Pelodiscus sinensis: one gene and its partners. The protein of the gene in region 1 interacts with the protein of each later gene in a biochemical or structural test. Links are inferred from orthologs where the notes say so. Each region holds a gene or a part of one and is shown in the gene's direction. Other genes may lie near its edges.

Region 1 (3,744 bases):
CCCCCCCCCCCGCTGCTTCTCTCAGAAAGAGGCAGCAAGGTGGGGAGGCGGAAGGGGGGAGAAGAAGAGGCGAACTTCAAAGCAACAATGCTGCATGGAGCCTGGGGCCAGACCCCGGGCTCCACACAGTGCTGCTGCTTTGAAACACAGTGAGTGAACTGGGCCAGCTGTGGTGTCCCCAGGCTCTTCGCAGAGTTTCAAAGCGGCAGCACCGGATGGAGCTCTGGGTCAGCAGGAGAGTCGCCCGTTGATCCTGGGCTCCACTCCATGCAGTGCTGACGCTTTGAAATGCTGCAAGGATCCTGACGCCGGGCTCCCTGCAGCGCTTCAAAGCAGCAGTGCTGCATGAAACCCGGGGTCAGTGGGGGAGTCCCAGGTTGACTCATGCGGCGGCACTTTTGCCTTTGATGTGTAGCAACAGCCTTAGGGCTGTTGCTACACGTCAAAGGCGGAGGTGCCCTATCGACTAATCAAATAGTCAATGCAAAATGCAGACTAGTCAAGTAGCCAATTACTCGCAATTTAATATCCCTATAAGTAACACTGCTAAAGCCTCTGTCCTCAGTCGATTTCCCTTCAAGGTCTCACTCCCCCTCTCCCTCCCCTTCTGAAATGGCACCCCTGGAGCCCTGGGCCTTTTTGAATGGCGGAGTCCTAGGACAGTTGCCTCTTTGCCCCCTTCTCCTACGGTCAGGCTTGCTAGGGAGTCCTGGGGGCAGGGTTTGCGCCATAGGTGATGCTGGAACTAAGTTAGGGGGTGTGGGCGCACCCTTTGGCTTGAAGAGGTTTCCCTCCTAGGCTACGTCTAGCCTGCAAGCCTCTTTCAAAAGAGGCTTTTTCGAAAGATATTTTCGAAAAAGCCGCTTTCGAAAAAGAGCATCTAGACTGCAACCCGTACTTTCGAAAAAGCAAGCCGCTTTTTCGAAAGAGAGCACCCCGGCAGTCTGGATGCTCTCTTTCGAAAAAGCACAGTTTGCATAACATAGCGCCTTTTTTCGAAAGAGCACTTTCGCAAAAAGGCGTTATTCTTCGCGAAATGAGGAGTACCGCCGTCGAAAGAAAAGCCGCGTTCTTTCTCGATTTAATTTCGAAAGAACGGGGCTGTAGTCTAGACGCAGGTGACATTTTTCGAAAAAAAGCTACTTTTTTCGAAAAAAAAAAAAAACCCTGCAGTCTAGACACAGCCCTAGACAGTTTGGGGCACGGCTCTCAACACCCCAATACAACTGCTCCCACAGCTCTTTAAGCTGGGGCAGCTCTGCCAGGGAAGGCGGGGGCGGGAATGTCCCTCCAGCCCGCACACGAGGGAGGGGAGGAGCAGGGTGCAGCCGCTTCAGCGAGGCGGGGGGGGGGGGGGGGGGGAGCGTGCGGCGGCGCTGAGGGCAGCCCCTGGTCGCTGAGGCGGCGCTTCCCGCCGGCAAAGGGAGGGAGACGGACACTGGGTGGGAGGAGCCTCTGCCTCCCCCGTGACCACCCGGCTCCTCCCAGCCCCAGCGCCGCCGAGTAACCTGGTTCCCCGGCTCGGAGTCGGCCCTCCTCCTCCCTGCCTTGAGAGTGCAGCCGGGGCTCGGGCTAGTTCCCCAGAGCGGCCGCTGAGGTAGGAACCGCCGGCCCTGCGGAGAGGCGCTGCCGCCGCCGCCGCCGCCGCCTCCTCACGCGGAGACATGTACCCAGGAGCTGCTCCCGCCGCCGCTGCCGCCGCCTCTCCCGGACCCGGTGAGTCCCCAGCCGCCCGCTCCTCCCCGGCTCCAGCTTGGTTTGAACGCGTGGGACCGTTGGTGCGTGAACCGCGCGAGACGCGGCGCGAGGTCCCCCCCGCGAGACGGAGGTGGGGTGGGGGGGGGCGAGCGCGCGCGCGCGAGGTGCCAACCGCCCAGCGCGGAGGCGGGGGGGGAGGTTGAAGCCCTCGCGCGCCCCAGCGCGCGCGTCGGCTTCCCTCTCCCCGCCGCCGCTGGGCCTTGTGGAGACTCCCGGAATGGCCGCAGCGGCCCGGCTGTGTGCTGCCGAAGGGGCGGGGAAGGAGGGGTCAGGCGGCCGCCGTCCCCCCCTCCTCCTCCTCCTCGGGGAGGGCTCGAGCGAGCGTGCGTCTCCTCAGGCCCCTTTGTGGGCAGGGGTCCCTCCCTCCTTCGGCCGCGGTGGGGAGCCGAGGAGACGTCGGGTGCAAGGCCCCGCGGGAAGCCTGCGGTGGCGGGGAGGGGCGGCCGACCTGGCGCTGCGAAGCTGCCGCAGGAACTCCAGGGGCCTGCTCGCCTCGCGCAGCCCGCCCCTGCTCCACCAGCCGGAGCCGGGCGGGGGGTTAGTGCTTGGTAGCCATGGAGCCCGTGGTGGTCCATGCACGCACTGGGGCAGAGGTGCTCAAACTTCACTGCACTGCAATCCCTTCCTGGCAACAGAAACTACTGCACAAGCCCGTCCTCCCCCGGAATGGGGACCCAGGCAGAAACCTGCCCGAGCTCAGCCGCCTGGGGTGATGGGGCACCAAACCACAAATGCCAGGTCTTCAGCTGCAGGTGGAGACATCCAGGGCTGAAACCCTCGAGCTTTGGCTTCCGTCCAGACAGTAGGACTGAGACTTCGGCCCACACTCCAAGTCTAATGTTAGCCAGGGTGACACCATTAAAATGGAGCTGTGACCCATAATTTGAGAACCTCTGCATTAAGATGTCCACTGACATCCTGTTGCTGCCTGCATGGTATTGTAGAGTCACCAGGCAGGATCCCAGTTGCTATCTCCAGTACATGTTGCTGCTGTTGCCAGTACTTATTGGCTTGGAGCTTACCATGGCTGTCCTATGTCCCAGCAGGTCATTGTTGCACTAACTATTTGTGACTGCATTGCTGCCACTACCAAGGATCTAGTAGACATGCTGGCATTGCCGTTCTTGCAACTTCGATTGAGTTTATAACACTAGTGTGAGGCCCTGCCGCCACTGTGGCAGCTGGGTTTGCTGTTGTGGAGTGGTTCAAGTGCATCAAAGTGTTCAGGAGGAATTCACCAGTTATGATGGATGTTGCCATACTGTATCATTTGGCAATGAATAATCTTTCTTTTGGCCTGGAACCCACCAAGGAGAAGTTTATATTCCCAAATAAGCTTGTAACCAAGAAAGTGAAAGTGAGAGTTTGTGTGCATTGGTTATAAAAGCAAAGAATAGTAAATATTTACCAGAGCAGGAACTGCAGCCTGTTCTCCTTCACAAATGTGTGCCTTTCCATTTTCACACACAATGGGAAGTGACTGTCTAGAAAGGAGTACTGCAGAAAGAAATCTAGGAATCATAGTGGACCACAAGCTAAATAGGAGTCAACTGTGTGACACTGTTGCCAAAAAAGCAATCATTCTGGTATGCATTAACAGGTGTGTTGTGAGTAAGACACGAGAAATAATTCTTCCACTTTACTTTGTATGCCTCCACTGAAGTATTGTGTCTACTTCTGGGCATCACGTTTCAGGAAAGATGTGGTCAAATTGGATGAAGGTCCATAGAAGAGCAACCACAAAAGGTCTAGGAAATTGACCTATAAGGAAAGATTGATAGATTGTGTTTATTTAGTCTAGAAAAGAGGAAACCGAGGGAACATGATAGCAGCTTTCAAGAACCTAAAAGGGTGTTACAAGGAGGAGGGAGAAAAAATATTTTCCTTAACCTCTGATGATAGGACAAGAAGCAATGGACTTAAAGTGCTGCAAGGGAGTTAAGTTGGATGTTAGGAAAAACTTCCTAACTGTCAGAGTGTTTAAGC
Region 2 (3,744 bases), on another chromosome or scaffold:
TATTTCGATATTTGGCACGTCTACACAGCACCAAATTTCAAAATAACATGCTATTTCAAGCCATCCTTTATCCCTTGTTCAATTAGGTTGATCAGGATGGTGAAATAGCACACCTGTTAAAAATATTTTGAAATAACAGATGGCTTATGTAGATGCAGGATAGCTATTTTGGGATACTTGTGGTATCCCAAAATAGCCATGCAGTGTAGACAAACCCAAAGAGAGGCATTTTCATGAGCTTGTACTGTATAGCTATCTATACAACATAAATCAGATTTTTCTAGGATTAGCTCCCAGAGGAGATGTTTACTTGACTTCTGGGAAAAGGACTCACTCTGTGCTGCTTTCAGGTGTATCTGCAGCCTTCATGGTGTGGCCTTATCCTTGTGTTTTGTTTGACGCAAGCTGGAGAGGTAGGCTCAACAAGACAGGGCTCCAGGGTGCCCAGGCTGTCAGGAGAAGCAGGCTCAGTGTTGTCTTGGCACATACCTGCATCCATATGTAGGCTTTTGCTGGCACAGCAATGTTGGTTGGAGTGTGTGAGTTTTCTTCATGCTCCTGGCCAACAAAGTTATGCCAAAAAAACTTGTGTGGACCAGGCCTTTTGTGAGAGATCAGAGTTGGAGAAAGAACTCCTCCCTCAAGTAGGTAGGGCCAATTCCATGGGGAGTTTTAAACTGGGATACAGATTTTGAACTGAATTGTATGTTGAGTAGAGAATCATTAACACCATAGAACTATTTCATCCTCCTTCAAATCCTTCCTAAAAACTCTAATTTGCTGTGATGCCTACAAAAAACTTGGCATAATTGTTAGTCTGGTGGTTTGCTGACCCAGAGGGAGGGAACACAACAGGTAATTGTCAAGTGATCTCTCTCCTGTCACCCATTTCCAGCCTCTCACAAACAGAGGCTAGGGACACCATTCCTATCCATCCTAGCCATTGATGGTAATCTCCATGAATTTATCTAGGTGTTTTAAATTTGATCATTTGAAGATTACCCGTTCTGTTCATTCCCTCTAGAGCACCTGTCATTGGCCACTATTGGAAAACAGCATATTGGGCTAGATGGAGCCTTGTTCTGACCCAGTATGGCTGTTCTCATGTTCCAGCACAAGCTCCTACCCCTACCCCCTCCCTGAGGCCGCCTCTGCACCCCTTCACCCCCAGCCCCACCCCAAAGCCTTCATCACCTGCACTTCTGCCTCTTGCCCCACCCTAAAACCCTTACTCCCTCCTGCATCTTGAATCCCTCAGGCCCACCCCTCAGCCTGGCGCTCCCTACTGCACAGCAAACCCTTCATCCCTTTCCCCACTCCAGAGCCCAGCTGGTGCCCTCAGCATCTCCCGCCCCCGCCCCGCGAAAGGAGGGAGGGGGGGGCTTGTGGGGGGAGGCGGGGCCGCGGGCGAAAGGCGGAGCCAGGATGTTGGGGGCACCAATAGAAAGTTGGCAACCCTAGAGCTGGGTATCCTCCCCCTCCGCCACCTGAGCTGGGAGGTGAGCGGGGAATCGGCTCCTGAAACTCGCCCCCCGCCGGAAGAGGCGTCTGCGTGCGGTATCTCCCGCCTGTGCGGAGCGAGGGCGCCTGCGTGCGACACCATCGCCCCGGGGCGCGCCACGCAGGGTTCAGCAGGGAATAGAGAGGACGAAGCAACACACGTGAGTCCGTGGAAGGCTCCTGCCGTCCCAAGCGTTTGCTGTCTCCTGTCAGCTGATTGGCCATCCTGTAAACCCTTGACCTCTGACCCCCTTTTTACTCCAATCGCCTCACTCCTCTCATGGGCTGGGGAGAGTGGAGGGTGTGAGCTGTGGGGGTTGGCATTCTCAGAGCGGCTGTACGCTGCTTGCGTTGGGCGGTCCTGTGGTGGTGGGTGGAGGGCGCGGGGTGGTGCTCTGTTTGCGTAGGGCCGGCCTCGCACGGGGAAGGGAGGGTAGGAGGCTGTCCCGGGCCCAGGTGAATGGAGGAACCTGACAGCTGGGGGGAGTGAGGCCGCGGCGGGGAAATGGCGGCGGGAGCAGCACAATGAGACGCGGCCTGTAGCGGGGAAGCGCTGGTCTGGGTCCAGCTCGGCAGGTAGGAGGCGGCGGGCGGCTCTGGCGTGTGCCTGGGCCGGTGGCTTCATGGCGGGGCCGGGCACCCAGCGGCGGGGCCGGGCAGCTTGTGCCACCGCCCGCTCTGGACATGTGCGCGGCTCGGCCCCTTTGGCGCCCGGCTGAGCCTCCCCTCGCTCCCAAGGCCTGGTTCACCTGTGCGCAGCCCCCGCCTGGCCCTGCCTGCCGGGGCCTAGCCACCCCCGTTGCCGCCATGCCCATGGACCCGGCTCAGCGGCGCCCAAGGCGAAGGGTCTCCGACGGGGGCCTGCGTCTCAGCCCTTCTCGCTGGCTTTGTCTTCTCTCTCTCCCCGGGCCTGCTGAGGAGCCCCGTCCCCACGCATCCCTGCCTCCCTCAGACCACAGCTGGGATTCCCGGGAGTTGCTTCCCCAGCGCCAATGAGAGACCCGTTATTAAAGGGGTGAAGGGCTTTTGATGCGGGTGTGGAGGGGTGTAGTTCTAACTGATAAATGTTACTCCTGGAGAGTTTTTAAGGATCGCTTCTCTCTCTCCTTCACCACCTCCCCTAGCTGAAACTAGCGGGGGCACTGCATGCCGTAAATATACAGTGAGAACATTACAAGATCCTCCCCCATAACCTGTATGAAAAATATTGCAAAGTCCAAGTGGCACATTAAAGCATTTACGTTGTGCTCCATGCTATAGAAAAGAAAGTGCTGCAATAGGGGAAAAAAAGTGGGTCATATATTGATACAAACCTGAAACAAACTCTTGCATTTCTTTGTGTATTGATTTTGTTCCTGAGATAACAGGCCTTTGGGAGAAGATAGCTTGTTGATGGGGTTAAGTCTTGGCCACTGAAAACTTAGAACATCCTATACACTTGGGCTGTGTCTACATTGGCAAGATTTTGCACAAAAGTGGCCGCTTTTGTGCAAAATCTTGCTGCCTGTCTACACTGGCCACGAGTATTTGCACAAGAACACTGATGTTGTAATGTACAAAATCAGGGCTTCTTGCACAAATACTCTGACGTTTCTGCTCAGGCAATGTTAATTTCTTGCGCAAGAAAGCCCGATGGCTAAAATAGCCATTGGAGCTTTCTTGCACAAGAGAGCGTCTACACTGGCACGGATGCTTTTGCACAAAAGCTCATGTCAGTGTAGATGCTCTCTTGTGCAAATACTTTTAACGGAAGAGTTTTTCCCCAATAAAAGTATTTGCGCTAAATCATGCCAGTGTAGACGTAGCCTTAATATTATCAGTTCTGTTTTTTAAGCAGCAAATGATTGCTTAAGCAAGATGGCCATGAATTCCACTAGTGAGAAAGGGAGAGCCTGCCTATTTAGTTTACAAATCTAGAGATCTCATGTGAAAACACTTTGATGTATATCTTTAGTTAACTAATCAGTGTGTGTTTAGTAATGCTTATTCTTCTCCTGTTGTCCTGTGTCTTGTTTAGACTGTAAATTCATTGGGAGGTTCATTCTTTTATTTGTGAAGTGCTATATACAGAAGCAGAGTTGCATATATATTTTTAACAACTCTGGTCTTTTAATGGTTTGATATAGGTACAAACTCAATCCCCATGTATCTTAATATTTTTCTAAAGGGAAGGCCTTTCCATGCTAGCTCATATCTTGTGGGGTCACAATCTGTAGTATTTAATGAAAAATATTAAAATGCTCC
Region 3 (3,744 bases), on another chromosome or scaffold:
GGTTTAATAGGTGATGAGCTTTCGTGGGCCAGACCCACTTCCTCAGATAAGAGTAGAAGAAAATTGTTATATGGTTGTGACAATTTTCTTCCACTATTTGATCTGAGGAAGTGGGTCTGGCCCACGAAAGCTCATCACCTATTAAACCATCTTGTTAGTCTTTAAAGTGCTGCACCTTCCTATTTCTCCTTCAGGCTGCGATCCCTTCAGTGTAAAACGCAGGAGTGCTGGAAAGAAGCCTAGGGCAGGGCGGCGGCTGCGCAGCGTAAAGGAGACGCTCCGTCACCTCACTGCTCTACCTGGTTCCTGTGGGTCACAAACAAGGGTTTCGCGTGAGACCCCCCCCCCCCAGACGCCAGAAAGGCGATTCGCGCTGTGCTGTGGCCGCTGCAGCAGCCAGGAGACCACTGAGATCCGTGCCAGAGTCACAGCCCAGCGCCGGCTGGGGCCGCGCTCGAGACTGTGGCTGCAGCAGGCAGGGCCGGGCTGAGACTGGGCCGCTGGATCAGGCTCTGCGGGGATGCACTCGGGCCGTAGACAAGCAGCTGAGGGGCCTCAGGATTAGCGCTCTGCGGCGCATGACAACGGGCCAATCAGAGGCGCGCTTAGAGGGAAGCCGCCCTATGACGCTATCAGTAGCTATGGTGGATACGCTTACTGTTGCCAAGGGCTGAAAAAGATGATAGGCGGGACACCCCAAACGCTTTCACCAATGACGTGCGCGCTTCATTAAGACTGACACCTTTCAGGCCCAATAGCGTTTCCCTCCGGCTATAACCTGCACGGGGCGGTGCAAGCTGGGGATAAATAGCGTCGCAAGCTGTGCCGGGTGTGCCCGTGTTGCGTCTCAGACAATAACTAACTGGGGGCGGGGCGTTGCATTTGTGGGTGTTTATCGCTGGGGCCCTTGTTGGTAACTTGGACACCAGTCAAACGCCTTCCCTCTGGCCGGGACCACACGGGAGCCGCTGTGCGTGCTTGATTGACGGTGATTTTACCTAGCTGAGCTAGGTAGTGCTGCCGGCGCGCAGTGACGCACCAACGCAGAAGTCTCTTTTAAGACCCGCAGCTTGGTGGGCGGGACTTTGTTTTGTGACGGGCCCAGCATTCATCCAATGGGTGGGAGAGAATAAAAATACAACCCAATGAAGGGTGCGGAAGAGCCCGAGAGTTGGGCGCGTTCTCGTCCAACGGCCTGGGTGTATAGCCAATGGGGAGAAAGGAGGAGGCGGTGCCAGACAATGAGTTAGGTGGAAGATGTATGTGACTGTCAGTGAGTGTAGCCAATGGGTGGGGAGATGGCGATGATGCCAGCCAATTGAAGTCGCAGAAAGGTGGGTATTGATGTGATAGGCAAGGGTTGTGGCTAATGGGCGGGGAGACTACGGAGACGCTATCCTATTAACAGTACGGAGGGGTGAAAAGAGGCGAGGTGTGTGATCGGCAGGAGCTGCGGCCAATGGGGGCGGACGCTGGCGCAACCCTGGCCAGTGAGCTGCGCAGGGGGCGTCACGGAGGCGTGTCTCGGTGTGTTTGGGTTCGTGCTCTCGGGGGGAGGGAGACGGCGACGAGGAAAGTTTTTATTTTTTAAATTGTATTTTGTTTCTAGTTTCTGGGGTTCGCGCTTCCCCTGCGGGTGACGCGGGTGGGTGAGAGGAGCCGCCCCCGGCGCTGAGGAGAACGGAACTACGCGCACCTCGGCGGTGAGTACGGGACAGGCCCCCCAGGCACAGGCAGCGCGGCGGGGGTCTCCGTCCGTCTCCCTGGGGCCCCGCGCTGCGTCTGTTCCCCCGCCCTCAGCGGGAGGGGTGGGGGCCTGGCTGGAGAGCCGCCCCGCCCGCCAGGGCTCCCTCCGGGCCACTCCTGCCTCGGAGCCGCAGGCGGCCGCTCGCTGGTCTCTGCCTGGGCGGTCCCGCTGGCTGCCCTCGGCCGGCTGGGGACTGAGGCGGCGCGCGCGGGGCCGGAGGGTGGCCCTAGGCCGGCGGGGTTTAACTGGTGCCCGAGCCCCGCCCCGTGCGGAGGGAGGGGCGGCTCCAGGCTCAGCCCGCGGGAGCCGAAACGGGAGCCGAGGCCCTGTGTGGGGCCTGCAGCGCTGCTCTGCCCGCGGCGTGCGAGGCCAGCTTGACCCGGCACGGCCTCGGCAACCGGCAGCGCGCGGGCCAGCGCAGAGCCTCAGTTGCCGCCGCGTAGCGCGCTGCGGGCCCCAGGGAGTGAGCAGGAGACTCTGAGCCCTGGCGGGTGGTTCTGCTTCCCGGCCGCCCCCAAGCAAGCCGCCAGCAAACCTCCAGTGGCTGGAGTTACCCCGCTCCGCTGCGTGCGGATGCGCTCCTGAGGTTATGTCGGTAGCACTACCGACCACATTGGATTTGTTGCATACGCGGCTGGTGGAATGAGTTTAGAGGCGGGAGGAGTAACCGAATTGAAGAGGAGTGTCCCAAGCCAAAGCCACTTTTCAGAGCTATTCCTGGCATAGGAAAATCCGAGGCGACACATTGCTAGGGCTGCTTCTCTCTCACTCTCGTGCCTGCTTTGTGGTGCTCCTTATGTTAATATATACGCTCTATGACTACATAGGGAAGTAACTGAAGTCACCTAATTTTGTGAGGCGTGGGCATGTTTTTTTTGTTAACTCAAGCCAAAAAATAAGTGGTCATGCTGAGGCCCCTCCATTTGCATTCACAGTCATACATGACCCTTCCGTTTTACTGTCCCAGTTTAGTTTCTATAACAGGGGTGGGCAATACTTTTTGTAAGGGGTGGGACACATCACCAATTTTGGTGGTAGTGGTGGCTGGCTGTGGGGCAGAGGAGCACATGAGATCTCTTGCACCTGCCCAGCCGAGGCACACAATGCCTAGAGGGAATTGCTAGTGTTTTGAACTGCTGGCCGTTCCCTCTGGAGCAGTGTACCCCTGATGGGGGGAGGAGACTCCATGCACTCTTCTGACCCTGGGTCTTGATTGGCCTGGAGGCAGGGCGCAGCGCTGCCAGCTGCAGACTGGATCAAATGGCTTGGCAGGCTGGATTCAGTCCCTGGGCCATATATTGCCCTTTCTATGAAGAAGCTTTTTTAATGTCAAAGTATATCTTGCTTTTTTAACTTTTGGGTTTAATATCCAGATTATTTTGAGGTGTCTGTACAGACTAGGGATGTTAAAAAGTGCTTAATTAGGTAACCATGTAACTGTTAAGTCTTAGCAGTTATTCGTAATGGGCTCTGCAGTATAAAGTTTTAACCCCCGGAGCTGGGCAGGCAGCAAGTGTGCACTGGAAGCTGGCTCTCAGCTGCTGACTCCACTCCTGGGGAGGCCTACAGCATGGGGCGGCAGCTCACTTCCACCTCCTGCTCTGCTCTTGGGGACCCAGTTGCCTCCCTTGCACTGCTGCCTCTGATTCAGGGTGGGTTGGGGGGGAGAAGAAAGAGAACAGGGTGAGGGGTGGTCTGGATTGAGGGGAGGAAGGGGTCCTTAGCCTTAGCCCAAGTCCCTGCCTTGAAGGACCCAGGCAAGGCGGCTGGTTAAATCTGCTAGTTTAAAAAAAAAAAAAATCAGTGTACCATTTGTCTCCTGGGCTATGTGTAGCAGTGAACAAAATGAATATTGTTGTTTGCGGGATTTGGCACTAAATCTTTTTATTACAGCCTAGCTATAGAAATAGGCTGCTTTTTGTACTCTAGGTAGCTGTTACTGTCAGACAGATGAAGCTGCCAATATATATTTCTGTTTAGGCCTTGCCTGGTTGAGC

The links.
Region 2: the proteins of AGO2 (region 1) and DICER1 form a complex in vitro, tested with the Homo sapiens proteins (2 studies listed by BioGRID and IntAct). The link is inferred for Pelodiscus sinensis from reciprocal best matches to the Homo sapiens genes AGO2 and DICER1.
Region 3: the proteins of AGO2 (region 1) and TNRC6B form a complex in vitro, tested with the Homo sapiens proteins (3 studies listed by BioGRID and IntAct, with this or other methods). The link is inferred for Pelodiscus sinensis from reciprocal best matches to the Homo sapiens genes AGO2 and TNRC6B.

Annotation. Positions count from the first base shown.
Region 1 is NC_134712.1:7,743,056-7,746,799, forward strand, and holds the start of AGO2 (protein argonaute-2), read left to right. Parts: upstream 1-1,364; 5' UTR 1,365-1,664; coding exon 1,665-1,716; intron 1,717-3,744.
Region 2 is NC_134714.1:28,338,095-28,341,838, forward strand, and holds the start of DICER1 (endoribonuclease Dicer), read left to right. Parts: upstream 1-1,450; 5' UTR 1,451-1,661; intron 1,662-1,892; exon of another isoform or gene 1,893-2,076; intron 2,077-3,744. UniProt on the Homo sapiens protein: Double-stranded RNA (dsRNA) endoribonuclease playing a central role in short dsRNA-mediated post-transcriptional gene silencing.
Region 3 is NC_134711.1:90,366,465-90,370,208, reverse strand, and holds the start of TNRC6B (trinucleotide repeat-containing gene 6B protein), read left to right. Parts: upstream 1-1,217; 5' UTR 1,218-1,334; intron 1,335-1,388; exon of another isoform or gene 1,389-1,527; intron 1,528-1,533; exon of another isoform or gene 1,534-1,609; 5' UTR 1,610-1,703; intron 1,704-3,744.